Linked DNA regions of Arabidopsis thaliana. The protein of the gene in region 1 purifies or fractionates together with the protein of each later gene. This does not show direct contact. Each region holds a gene or a part of one and is shown in the gene's direction. Other genes may lie near its edges.

Region 1 (6,414 bases):
CTACGTGCGGGTACTCATCTAGTTAAAATAAAAACGTGTATAAAAGTAACTCTCACCTTATGATTTGCTGCGTTTTGCCGCCGGATCTGATGAAGAAAGAGAGAGGGACAAGAAGAGACGAGAGTTTTTAAAGTTTCCATTTACATCTTTTGGATTATGTTTTTAACGATATCGGAGGCTGTGTGTATTACTATATATAGAGAAGCTTTCTTTACCGTTGAGAAAAAGTAGTAACGGATAGTTTCTGAATTTTGAAGTAAGTTACCGTTTCTAAGTTACCGTTCCCGTTCTGACATCTCAACGGTTAAATCACAGTTACCTTGTCCGCAACACGTGTTACAATTAAAAAAGTTTTATTCTTGCTGGGCTGTCGAGACCGGCCCAAACCCATCAATTTGTTTTTTAATTTTTACATGTCCGATATGAGGCTTAAAGGATAAACTGGATTTGATTTAAGGTCCATTATATAGATCAATAAAAGCGTTCAAACGTTATGCGCAACTGTGGTACGTCATTACATGGGAGTTCTGTATATCCGTCATATCAAAACAACTGTAAGAAAGCAAATCAAGCTATATATAACTTATGGACTTTCACCGTGAGCTCACAAACTCATGAGAAACCTTCTTTTCTTTCAAACGAAAGAAGGGTCTTTGAACCTCTTGAAAACGGCGTCAATGTCTGCCATAACTTCCTGCGAAAACGGCCGCTCCGTCATCAGAAAAGCATCAATGTCTTCTTTAAGTTGTTTTACCGATGTGGCCCCGATGATCGTGCTCGTCACAAAGGGCCTGTCACGTACAAACCCGAGTGCTAACTCAACCGGAGTTAAACCGTACTTCTTCGCCACCTCAACGTATTGTATGGTTGCTTCCTGAAATCAGAACAAAGATAAAATTGACCTCAAAACACTTTTACGAATATGGCTTTACAACTAGATTCGAGCTAATACTGTTTCTTAAATTGTTTTACGACATAAGAAGAAGTAAGCATAGTTGGATCAAGAAGAAACCTTGGCTAGTGATCCCTTGTAACGTTCCATATATCCTGGGAAAAGATTCAGCCTTGCATTTTTTGTAGCTTCTTGGTCTGTAGCCAAGTATTTCCCAGACAACGAGCCGCCTCCAAGAGGGGAATAAGCAAGCAAGCCAACATTGCAATTTTTTGGGTGGCATACTTCTACCAGATCAACTGTGGTTTTAACCCAAAACAAAAGAGTTTAGAACATGCTCCTCCGACACACTTGCTCTCAAGGTATTCTAGAAAGATTTACCTTCATACCGACATCTAACTAGCAAGCTGTAACCATTCTGGATGCTCACAATCTTTGGTAGTCCTTCGAGTTTTGCTGTGTTAACAAACTCCGTCACTCCGTATGAAGTTTCATTCGAGACACCGATATAGCGAACCTGTTGCAGAATTCGAGGAACACTTCAAAACTCTGTGTTTGAGGTTATATAACTCAATATAACATCTGATTTTTAAGGAGTAGCACTACCTTTCCTTCAACTATGAGATCCTGAAAGGCTCTTAGTTGCTCAGCGAATGGCACACTAGGTCTCCATTTCGACGTTTCATAGTAAAAATCACCGAAGAGTGGTACGTATCGATCTGGCCTGGACTGAAAAAAAGATCAGTGTCATGATTTTCTGACATTTGATGATGAAAAACGAAATATTTTGCGCATGAAATAGAAAGACACTTGCTCAAACAATGTAGAATATGAGTTAAGACATAAAGCAAAAATAAGGCGATGTTACCAGTGTATTTGAAGCAAGTCAATGTAATCAGTTCCAAGGCGCTTAAGACTTTTCTCAACACTTTCTTTGATATTAGCAGCATCTACACGCAGAATCTCACCACTGTCCCTTATGTAAGCTGACCTTTCTGAGTACCCACATACTTTAGTTGCCAAAACTATCTGTATACAGAAACAATGAACATCAATATCAATTTTTATAACTTCGATTAGGTTTTGCTGATATCATATACATTCGTGACCAATATGCATCCAAAGTATGATAAATGGTTGATACCTTGTCACGTTGCTGAGACTTCAACCAGCTACTGATATAAAGATCCGTTTTACCTTGCGTCTCCTTCTTCATCGGTATGGGATACTGGAAATAAACAATGATACTTGAAAATTTACCACAGACTAAGCAGATTCCAGAAAGCTAAACACAACAGTGCTAAATTCACCAGAATTATATATAAAGTATAAAACATTCACATAAACACTTGCAATCAAATTCACCAGGCAAGAAGAGAAAGATGAACAATGAAGATAAAAACTCACAGCTTCAGCAGTGTCAATGCAATTGATGCCCTCTTCAATTGCATAACTCAGCATCTCATGAGATTCTTTCTCAGTATTTTGCTCCCCAAATGTCATCTGAAATTCCAAATTTCATCAAAACTTCAAAATTGAACAATGGACTACAATTGCAGGAGATAAAGAGAGATTGTTCTTACAGTGCCCATAGTAACTTCGCTGATGTTGAGATCGGAATCTCCTAATTTCCTATACTCCATAGCATTCTTCGTCGACGCTTTCGCCGAAACTCTCAATATTCTCCTCCGAGCATTCGGCGATAGAGTAACACGGCGGCGCGTGAATGCCAAACGAAAGACTCCTCGAATGTTACTGCTGCTGACCACCGGAGTGACCGTTGAGTAGGTGACGTAAGATGACGCCATACCGGAGGTTGTCGTGGACGTGGTTCTTCTCGCCTTATCGCCACCATTATCTACTGTTTTGATTCACGTATTTGAATACTCTGGGCTAAACGATTTGGGCCTAATGTAAGAGGCCCATTAGAGTCAAAAATATATATTGAATAATATCTTGTTTTCCTAATATGATAGGTCTAATCTCAGATTTCGATTTATTTCTTCGAGATAATATGATTATATTAGATGACGTGGCGGTACATCCTTCGATATCTTCGATAAATACGCAAGAGTGAGCTTCACGGTCAGACAAAAGCTGACTCTACGCTCTCTCAAAAGTCGAATATCCCAAATTCGATCCGTTTTCCGGCGATAATCTCCGATCTAGATCCGATGGCGAAAGAACCAGTTCGTGTGCTCGTTACTGGAGCTGCAGGTATAACTTTCATCTATATCCGATTAGATCGTGTAACTTCTAGATCTCTGGCTAGTGAATCGCTTGCTGAATCTAGTCAGATCTCTGCATAGTATCTGGTTGTTCCATAGATCAATGAAATATAGGTCAACTCTTGTTCCGTTGGATTCAACGCTGACCAACGATTGATTGAGTTGGTCGCATATCTAATTTTAGTAAAAGTTATTTCATGGATCGAACTCTGATTTAGAAACCGTTGTTTATATAGTTGGATAGAGTTTAAGTTGTGACTTTAGATCTCCTCAGCTACTGAAAGTAACTATTGATTGTGATTATGCAGGACAAATCGGATATGCTCTTGTACCTATGATTGCAAGGGGTATCATGCTTGGTGCTGACCAACCTGTTATCCTCCACATGTTGGATATTCCTCCAGCTGCTGAAGCTTTGAACGGTGTTAAGATGGAGTTGATCGATGCTGCTTTCCCTCTTCTTAAAGGTAGTTAAGGGTTTTGTTTTGCTGTGGATATTTGCATTCCGTGTCATAAGTTGTTTTGTATAAGTGGGAAAGGAGAAGATGAATATTTGATGTGTATTATTATCAGGTGTTGTTGCTACAACTGATGCCGTTGAGGGATGTACTGGAGTCAATGTTGCTGTTATGGTTGGTGGTTTCCCGAGGAAAGAAGGTATGGAGAGGAAGGATGTGATGTCCAAGAATGTTTCCATCTACAAGTCTCAGGCTGCTGCCTTGGAGAAGCATGCCGCTCCTAACTGCAAGGTGATACGATCTGTTTGCTTTTTAAGTTAAATGAAGCCACTGCATCCAATCTTCTCTGTTCATTGGAGTGTAACAGATGCTTTGTGTTCTCTATTGGGTTCTAGTTTACGACTCTCTTGCTCACACATTCGCTCTCGTTTTGTCTTTTTTTTTTCAGGTTCTTGTTGTGGCCAACCCGGCAAACACCAACGCATTGATCCTCAAGGAATTTGCACCATCAATCCCTGAAAAGAACATCTCTTGTTTGACAAGGCTTGACCACAACAGGGCTTTGGGACAGATCTCTGAGAGGTTGAGCGTGCCAGTGTCTGATGTTAAGAACGTGATCATCTGGGGAAACCACTCATCCTCACAGTACCCAGATGTCAACCATGCTAAAGTGCAGACCTCGTCTGGAGAGAAGCCTGTCCGTGAGCTCGTCAAGGACGATGCATGGTATGTATAACATGCCATAGAACTTAAGACCCTTTCTCTTCTCTGGAAGCAAAATCTAGTTTCACTTAAATATATTGCTCATTCTGTAGGTTGGACGGAGAATTTATCTCTACAGTTCAACAACGTGGAGCTGCAATCATCAAGGCGAGGAAGTTGTCTAGTGCGCTCTCTGCTGCTAGCTCTGCTTGTGACCACATCCGTGACTGGGTCCTTGGAACTCCAGAGGTTCATAATAAAACTCTTCCCCGTTATTTGCAGTGCTGTTTTTTTGTAACAGTTAATCTAATATGAGTTCTTTCTTTGATTCAAATTGTCAGGGTACGTTCGTTTCCATGGGAGTATACTCCGATGGCTCTTACAGCGTTCCATCAGGACTTATCTACTCCTTCCCTGTAACTTGTCGCAATGGAGACTGGAGTATTGTCCAAGGTAAATATGACGCACTTACAAACTCAAATGCTCATCAATTATGAAATCCTAGATTCTGCAGACCCTAATGTGTATTTTGTTTGGTTAGGCCTTCCGATTGATGAAGTATCAAGGAAGAAGATGGATTTGACTGCAGAGGAGCTCAAGGAAGAGAAGGACTTGGCGTACTCATGCCTCTCTTAAACCCTTCTGGAGCAAAATTTTCATCTATAAGGTGTGAGATCAGTTAAAGCCTTTCAGGGCTTTGTCCGAATAAGAAGTGTGTTTGAAAGATCTCCAAACACTGTTTTATAACCTCTTTGGTCTCTTTGATGAGTATTGTCCCTGGTCTGTTTCTAAACCAGGATATCGTTTTTTTCAATGTGTCTGATTTGGTTTACCCATGAAAAGAAGAAAATTGGCAGTTGCATGGTTATCTTTTGCGATTATTTTTTTCTGCTTTAGCAATTAGCCCAAAATTGATGAGCTCTTCGATAATGGGTTTGTGCAATTGTGATTTGTGAGGAATGGTGTTATTGTGTTGCAATTGCAAAAAGAAATGCTACTCTTGCAGATTCATACCAAAACCAAATCACTAGATTAAACTGAAATTCTAATGTGGATTATTTTAATTTTACTTCTATTTTTCTTCACCCAAATATTTTATAACCAAACACCAAGTTGACACCAAAATATACATCCAAAAAACTTAGATTGCTTCTATTTTACGACTATCCGAAATCGAATCATAAACCGTAGGCAATGGTCCATTAATAAGGGGTATACGAGGATTCAAAGTTTGAGAGAACTTTTTTATCTTTACCTTTTTCCTTTTGTAAAGTAAAAGCAGTGGATTTTGATTATAGATTCTACTTGGTAATGACTAATGAGAATCAAGTTCTCACCTTTAAGCCATATAGACTTTAGATATTTAATGGATTCTACAAAAGTGGGCATGACCAGAATCGAGTTCATGAACCACCGTCCTCGGCCCCAACGTTAAAAAACTTTTTTCTCTAGCATAAGAAGATAAGAGTATCTTCACTGCGCTTTAGGCCCACTCAACATTCAAACAAAATTCGATCTCTTATAAAAAAATATCTCACAAGAGAAAGTTCGTACATGATCCCGATAAAATCGTAGATGAGCAAATCAAAGATGAGATGTCGGTAAAAAAAACGCTATTATAAGAACACACGCCACTAGTTGTGGATAAAGTTGTCTACTTTTGTCTCGTTGTGATTATTATATTGCACAATTATTAACATTCATACTCTCATATGGGTATTGTTTTTGGTCTCCGTTAGATCTCAAATCTTTAACTTTGCATACCCAAAATAGGAAGAAAGAAGAGTCAAGTCACTAAAATAACTTTCACAGTCTTTGATTCGAAGATCTTTGTCGCCGAGAGATATCCACTCTGATTTGAGTTCTGGTAAAAAGTTTCCAGCTTTTGATTTTTGTTTCTCTCAATTGAATTTCTCTTGCTTGCTCTGTTTAAAAGGATTAGGATTAAATCGAATCTCTCTCTGTTATGTTTTTTTGTAGATTATTTTGGATTTTAGGACTCAAAGATTACAGATTTCTTATCAATCATTCTCTGTTATTGTTATAGAACTATTCTCTGGAGGAGGTTGAGGTCTGAAATCATGGAACAACTTGGTTAGAGTGTGGAATTTTAGCTGATTTGATCTTTGATTCA
Region 2 (7,124 bases), on another chromosome or scaffold:
AGAAAAATTCGATTTTGGAATTGTTCATATTCTAGGTTTGAGCTTAATTGGATATATCCTTGGTGATTGGTTGATTTGGATTCGATTAGGTTTAAGTATAGGTTTTGATATTTGGATTTTGGAAGAAAAAGAGTGATGAGTCGTGGGAATTACAAGAACCCGTGCTTGACCATGCATCAGCCATGGGCATCACTTCTCGTCCATGGTATCAAACGCATCGAAGGCAGATCCTGGCCTTCCCCAATTCGAGGTAAAAAAAACCCTAATTTTGAACTCAGGGATTCGACTGAGATTTAATTTGAATTTGAAACACTGTGATAATTGCATAACTTTGAAGAAGAAGATGATGTTGTTTTTAAACATGTAAATAGGCCGTTTATGGATTCATGCTGCAAGTAAAGTACCTGATGAAGCTACTATCAAAGCAATGGAAGAGTTTTACCAACAAATTTATGCTGTTGATGGGATCACTGATATTCAATTCCCCCAACATTACCCTGTTTCAAGACTAATTGGTATCGTTGTTTACTAATCTCCATATTTGAAAGTCTAAGTTCCATGTTATAGTATAAGCAAGACCTGATTTTGCTTGGAACATATTTGAATACGGTTTCGTTGGTATAGGATGTGTTGAGGTTGTTGGATGTGTCACCTCCGATGAGCTTCAGAACTGGGATGCTTTACCTCAAGGGGTACAACAATTTTCCTTATTACTGTGTTCTATTCTTTGACATTGAAAACAGCTCGTTATCGATGATTCTTTAGTATAATAAGCAAAAACCTCAACTGTTGTTTTGGTATGTAATAGGTGAGGCTTGAAGGACAAACTAACTTTTGTTGGCTATGTGAGAAGCCACAGGTGAAAGTCACTTCATCTTTTGGCTGTTACTGTTTTGTTTAGATTGACTTATTTGACATTTGATTCTGTGAACTCTTCCAGAAACTGATTATTCCATTTGAGATGCGTGGGTACCAGGGCGTCTATAACTTAGAGAATAAGGTAATCTTGCTGTTCTTCAAAGCCTAGGGATTGGTGGGTTCTTGTTGTAGTATAAATTAGTACCAGTTACTTACTGTATTTCTAAATGAAACAGATTTATGTAGCAGCAGCTAGAGGTCTTATGCCTTCTCAAAACTCTTTTAAGGTGAAATTCCCTCTTCCTGACCCAAAAGACCCGTTTTCCTTAAAACCTGGTTCTATTCCTTGTACAATGCAAGAGAAGAAAGAACTTGATTCAAAGCAAGTTACCAGCCTCACAGCTGCAATCAAGCAAGTTACCAGCCTCACAGCTGCAATCGCCGGTGCAAAAGCAGCGGCGACACAATTTTCTAAGAAGGGACAAAGTCTCCAAACAAATAATATATTTGATTACACAACAAGAAGCAAGAGCAAAGTTATTGAAGATGAAGCAGCAGAATCCCTAGATAACCCGGTTCTTGGTTCTGGTGGAACGTCTGACCGTACTTATAGAACAAGAAGCAAGAACAGAGGCACACAGATGGGTGAAGAAGTATGTAGTGAAAGCAGCAACAGCAGCAGCAAAGTTGAATCTAGTCAAAGAAGTGCAGTCACAAAGAGTGAGGACAGGAATACAAGAATTGGTGAAAGAAGGTTTGATCCTGGATCTGCCCGGGTACGTTTATTATCTTACATTAAGCGATAATTACAACAATAATTGTTGACTTTGTTGTTGTCTGATTTTATTTCACATGTGGAATTATTTCAGATCATGGCCGCTGCAATTAGGAACTTGAAGCCACCTTCTTGATCTAATGCGTCAAGGTTGTACCATATTTTGCATTCTTTCTAAAACATGTTCATTTCAAAGTTTGAGAAGTTCGTTTTAGAGTTAGTTTATAGGTTTATTGTATACACATTCAATTTAACTTATATGAGAGAATAATCATGTGGACTAATAAATACACAGAGCAATGAGTTTTGAGTAGACTGTTTAGTCGAATTTTACTAAATTACTATATTTTGGTCAGATTTAGAAGAATGTTTATATTTTTGGGGGGTTTGTCCCACATCGGTAGTTTCAAAATATCAGTTGTGTATATATTTAGTCGAAAACGAAAACAAGTAACAATAGTCATTGGACAAAGTGAATGGGTCACATGGGCTTGTCTAAGTTCCGACCCAGGAAAGTCCCCGGGCCACTTTTCGCAGAGATGCGGCCTCGGTAACGAGAGAATCATGCGGTGGAGAGATTCTATAAGCTGAGACGCGTGTGTGGAGCTTCTGTTGTCTCTCCGTCGATGACATCATGGCCGTTCGATTCACGACAGTTATTCACTTGGTCCTCATCGGACTAACTGAACGGGGCTTATGTTCCAATGACAACAATTTTTTTCTTTTTGAGTAATCCCGGTTTACTCAACTTACTCAACCGTACCGGTGGAAGATTCCTTACAGTAATACTAAAGCTTTTGGCTTAGCTCATTTTGGTGATGATAACAGTAATATCATAAGTACATAATAAATAATTGAAACTTTTGTAAGTATCCTCATTTTTTCAGAAAGTAAATAATATCAAATGTATTGAGAAAACAATAAATGATCATTTTTTTATTTTAATTAGACTCAAAATTAAATAACTGGAAATTAAAAAACCAAATAAACTGAAAATTATTATCTAAAATACAGTAACTAAAAATTTGTCTTGTCGATAAGTCGGATAAAATTTATTCATATAAATATTTAGTCATATACAAGTAAAATAATACTACAAATAATACACAATCAGTCGATGTTATATACAATAAAATTATAGATTTATAAAGGAAAAAATTATCCGGCGATATATCTGATGTCAATCTCTAGTGGGTTAGCATTTTTATTGAAAAATTGTATTGCTTAGTTTTTTTATTGTTATATTGTTAGTGAATTAAAATGGTACTTTGGTATTTTCATATATAGACTTTTTGAAAATAAAATCTTAGATTTTTTCTAACAAGAGTTACCAAAAATATTTTGGAATTAAATGAGCCGGCGACATAGAAGAATAGAGAGGGTTAAATTGAAAATTCATAAAGTAGGAAAAAATTAGGGTTAGACTCGATCATTCATAGCTGCGACTATTCTCTGCTCTTTCTACATTTTCTCATTTTCTCTTGGGCTACTTTTCGACTACTAACAAATCCAACGATGAGGGGATTGGTGAACAAGCTCGTGTCCAGATCTCTCTCCATCTCCGGGAAATGGCAGAACCAACAGCTTCGTCGTCTCAACATCCACGAGTATCAGGTTCTTCTTCTCTTCATTTCCATTTGATAGTTGCCTAGATTCGCTTTTGTCAAGTCAGAATTCGAGTACGATCTGTGTCTTTGTCTGTTGTTTCTGTGTTGATCCACTGATTGATTTGTGGTTGATAGAATTCTCTGGGTTTAGGATAATGTAAAGTTTGTATTGTGATTCTGATACAACCAGGGAGCTGAATTGATGGGGAAATATGGAGTTAATGTGCCGAAAGGAGTAGCTGCTTCTTCGTTGGAAGAAGTTAAAAAGGCTATTCAAGATGTTTTCCCTAATGAAAGCGAGGTAAATTCAGTGAGGGATTCGATTCTAATCTCTATTATTAGTTGTTGTCTAATTGAAAGAGTGTCATTTTCGTGTGATACAGTTGGTTGTTAAGAGCCAGATTTTGGCTGGTGGAAGAGGTCTTGGAACATTCAAGAGTGGTCTTAAGGGTGGTGTTCACATTGTTAAACGTGATGAGGCTGAAGAGATTGCTGGTATTGTACAGGATTTCTTGTTTGTGGCTTTCTGGAGTCTGTTTTTTGTTGTTGTTGTACAAGTTATTGATCTATTTCAAATCTTTATTACTTGTAGGAAAGATGCTAGGACAAGTACTTGTCACCAAGCAAACTGGTCCTCAAGGCAAAGTAGTTAGCAAGGTTTGTTATCTGTTATTCATGATTGGTGTTTTTTCTTCTATTATTGTCACTGCTCTTGCACCTTTGTTTATTCATTGTGTCTTCATTTTGAGCAGGTTTACTTGTGTGAGAAATTGTCACTCGTCAATGAGATGTACTTTTCCATTATTCTGGACCGTAAATCTGCTGGACCGGTATGCTACTACGCAAATGATGAGCTGCTGCTATTCATTTCCCTACTTCTAGGCATGCTGTTTTCATACCCTGCTGTAATATCTAAAACGCTTTCCTTTCCTATATCAGTTGATCATTGCCTGTAAAAAGGGTGGTACCAGTATTGAAGATCTTGCTGAGAAGTTCCCTGACATGATCATCAAGGTTGTTACTGTTTGATTCGTATTTGGTGGTCTGATCTCCAGTAAATATCATTCTGAGATTCTTTCTCATGCGGGTTTTTGACACCTCAAGTCATGGTTTTGCGTAGGTACCAATTGATGTATTTGCAGGAATCACTGATGAAGATGCTGCTAAGGTTGTGGATGGTCTGGCTCCCAAAGCTGCTGACAGAAAAGATTCGATTGAACAAGTGAAGAAGCTATACGAACTCTTCCGCAAGACTGACTGCACAATGTTGGAAGTGAGTTCTCTCTCACTGTCTTTTTTCTACACACTTCTTCAGTTATAAATATCTTTTGTTGAACCTCCAAATTTCTCTTGTAGATCAATCCCCTTGCGGAGACATCAACTAATCAATTGGTAGCTGCTGATGCCAAATTGAACTTCGATGATAATGCTGCGTTCCGACAAAAAGAGGTTTTCGCCATGCGTGATCCAACACAGGAGGATCCACGAGAGGTCTCTGTCTATCTCTTGTATCATCAAGAAAGCCATTGTTATGTTAATTCGATAGGATGTTAAAAGGAATAGTGTGTTGTGTCTCATAGGTGGCTGCTGCTAAAGTTGACCTGAACTACATCGGTTTAGATGGAGAGATTGGTTGCATGGTGAATGGTGCTGGATTGGCCATGGCAACCATGGACATCATTAAATTACACGGTGGAACACCCGCCAATTTCCTTGACGTTGGTGGAAATGCTTCTGAGCACCAGGTAAAAGGAACCTTCTTTCTTTCTTCACTTTTGGGAATCATTGGAATGAAAACCAATTTTAATAGAGGTTTGTGTCAAAAAATAAGGTGGTGGAAGCGTTTAAGATACTGACATCGGACGATAAAGTGAAAGCAATCTTGGTGAACATATTTGGTGGGATAATGAAATGTGATGTGATTGCTAGTGGAATCGTGAACGCTGCAAAAGAGGTGAGTGAGAAACAACCTTGTTACCATAATATTTCATATATTCATGATTGAAAATAAATCCGAGTGTTTGTGTGGAATGGCGAGGACAGGTCGCATTGAAAGTGCCAGTGGTGGTTCGTCTAGAAGGAACGAATGTTGAGCAGGGAAAGAGAATCCTCAAGGAAAGTGGAATGAAACTCATAACAGCTGATGATTTGGATGATGCAGCTGAGAAAGCGGTTAAAGCTTTAGCTCACTAATCTCTCTATATATACCAAAAGCCGGTTTGTTAATTGTTTTGTGGTTGACGCCCAATTTACACTTTCTTGCGGATATCATTTCCTCAAACAGATCAATAATGAACTGGTCTCCTTTTTTTGTGTGATCCATCCAAAGAGATTCAAATCAGAATTCTCAATATCTTTTTGTATTTAACCAACTCATATGGTTGATACTAGGGTTTCAAGTTTATCTCATACGTACTGTTCCTATCATGAATAAAAATCGTTTTTGTGGGAAGCCACACTATAGCTGTCACTGAAACAACAAAATTAATCCCTCTCTCTACAAAAGGCTTTCACAAAACAGAGCTGTCCTCTGTTTCCAATTTAACGGTCAAAACGATAAACTTATTTTTTGATAGAATGTTAATTATATTACCAAAAGGAAAGAAGATTATTTACAAAAACTTTTGACCAGGATTGCAGCTCCATTGTTGTAGTGATGCAGCTCTATTGCTGAGGGCTATGATGAAGAGGAAAATCACACTAACACTACTCAGCTCTTGTCCAAGAAGTTTTTATTCATATATAGGGTTTCTAGTAAAGTGAAAGATGCTGTTGATTTGTTCTGTAAGAATGCTCTTTTATATTTATGATCGACGTCAATGATGATCTATGTTCAAGTGATTTGGATGATAGCACCGAAAAATATTTGTCTAAATTCTCCTTGCATAGTTAATAATAGTACAAGAATGAACAAGAAAATCTAACAATTGGTGTGTTGTGTTCAATGAAAATTAGCCATTTGGAGCTAGCAGCAAAGTCTCTATATATGTCGTCTCTCCTTTCAAAAATCATCTCTATTGTCGAATTGAGGCATAGATCTCACAGAACCAGTCTCAGACATATATTCCGACATGTTATCGACATCAGATCTTCTTGTCGATCTTGATGACCCTCCATTAACCGCGGTTTCTTTCGTCGACTTCTTCTTCCTCCTAGATTTCTTTGGAATTTCCGGTAATCCACTAGGCCAAGAAGACAACTCGTCTTGTTCTTCAGTGGCTTCCTTTGGTCTCCTCGACGATGACGATGTCCCTTTGTTAGAAGAGCGACGTTTAGTTTTGTCTGATGATTTGTCTTTTGTCGGAGAACCTTTCTCGGACGCTGCTTTCCTCGTAGATTTTGGTAGGTTTGGCAAATCTCTAGACCGACCACCATATTCCGACATACATTTTATGGAGGAATCATCTTCTCCGACTCCTTCAGCAGATTCGAATCCCCCGCCGGAGTTGAACTCAGTCATCTTTCAAATCACATAACATTAACCAAATCAATTCGACATTTTCTGAAAACGTTTTAGGTCAAATTTTTAATATATATGACCTCGTAGATTTGAGTCAAGTATTAATCTAGAGCTCACATCCATCCAAATATGCGTAGGATAATAAAACAATCTTTCATTTGCCTATTTTATCACGATTATTGTTTACGCCTTTTAAGAATTACCAAAGAAGTAGAAAAGAGTAAAAACATACCCAGCTTGGTGCGGTGGCATTAGCGGATGGTCCATCCCAACCGATATGGGCAACATGTTTTACGTCCGTTGGATTTCCGATTTGTATTTCTTCTTCTTTTTCACTTTCTATCATCATTAAAAGAAAGAAACAAGAAAGTATAATCAATCATTTAGATTCATCCTCAATCCATATAAACGTACTTGCAATGCA

Evidence for each region. The genes of interacting proteins can lie anywhere in the genome.
Region 2: the proteins of c-NAD-MDH1 (region 1) and AT2G20420 fractionate together in Arabidopsis thaliana (co-fractionation; one large-scale study listed by BioGRID). This does not show direct contact.

What each region holds. Positions count from the first base shown.
Region 1 is NC_003070.9:1,187,920-1,194,333, reverse strand, and holds c-NAD-MDH1 (Lactate/malate dehydrogenase family protein), read left to right. Parts: upstream 1-2,875; 5' UTR 2,876-3,066; coding exon 3,067-3,109; intron 3,110-3,428; coding exon 3,429-3,587; intron 3,588-3,693; coding exon 3,694-3,869; intron 3,870-4,026; coding exon 4,027-4,304; intron 4,305-4,393; coding exon 4,394-4,529; intron 4,530-4,621; coding exon 4,622-4,733; intron 4,734-4,821; coding exon 4,822-4,916; 3' UTR 4,917-5,339; downstream 5,340-6,414. Other genes in the region: AT1G04420 (NAD(P)-linked oxidoreductase superfamily protein), read right to left, coding at 635-874, 1,013-1,191, 1,274-1,409, 1,499-1,616, 1,761-1,921, 2,037-2,120, 2,300-2,395, 2,476-2,700. UniProt on the Arabidopsis thaliana protein: Catalyzes a reversible NAD-dependent dehydrogenase reaction involved in central metabolism and redox homeostasis between organellar compartments.
Region 2 is NC_003071.7:8,802,426-8,809,549, forward strand, and holds AT2G20420 (ATP citrate lyase (ACL) family protein), read left to right. Parts: upstream 1-2,916; 5' UTR 2,917-3,148; coding exon 3,149-3,247; intron 3,248-3,430; coding exon 3,431-3,541; intron 3,542-3,623; coding exon 3,624-3,735; intron 3,736-3,832; coding exon 3,833-3,897; intron 3,898-3,992; coding exon 3,993-4,070; intron 4,071-4,179; coding exon 4,180-4,254; intron 4,255-4,360; coding exon 4,361-4,513; intron 4,514-4,596; coding exon 4,597-4,731; intron 4,732-4,820; coding exon 4,821-4,985; intron 4,986-5,071; coding exon 5,072-5,194; intron 5,195-5,283; coding exon 5,284-5,433; 3' UTR 5,434-5,746; downstream 5,747-7,124. Other genes in the region: AT2G20410 (RNA-binding ASCH domain protein), read left to right, coding at 136-250, 372-515, 625-692, 809-859, 941-1,000, 1,095-1,634, 1,728-1,769; RIC6 (ROP-interactive CRIB motif-containing protein 6), read right to left, coding at 6,242-6,700, 6,933-7,039. UniProt on the Arabidopsis thaliana protein: Succinyl-CoA synthetase functions in the citric acid cycle (TCA), coupling the hydrolysis of succinyl-CoA to the synthesis of ATP and thus represents the only step of substrate-level phosphorylation in the TCA.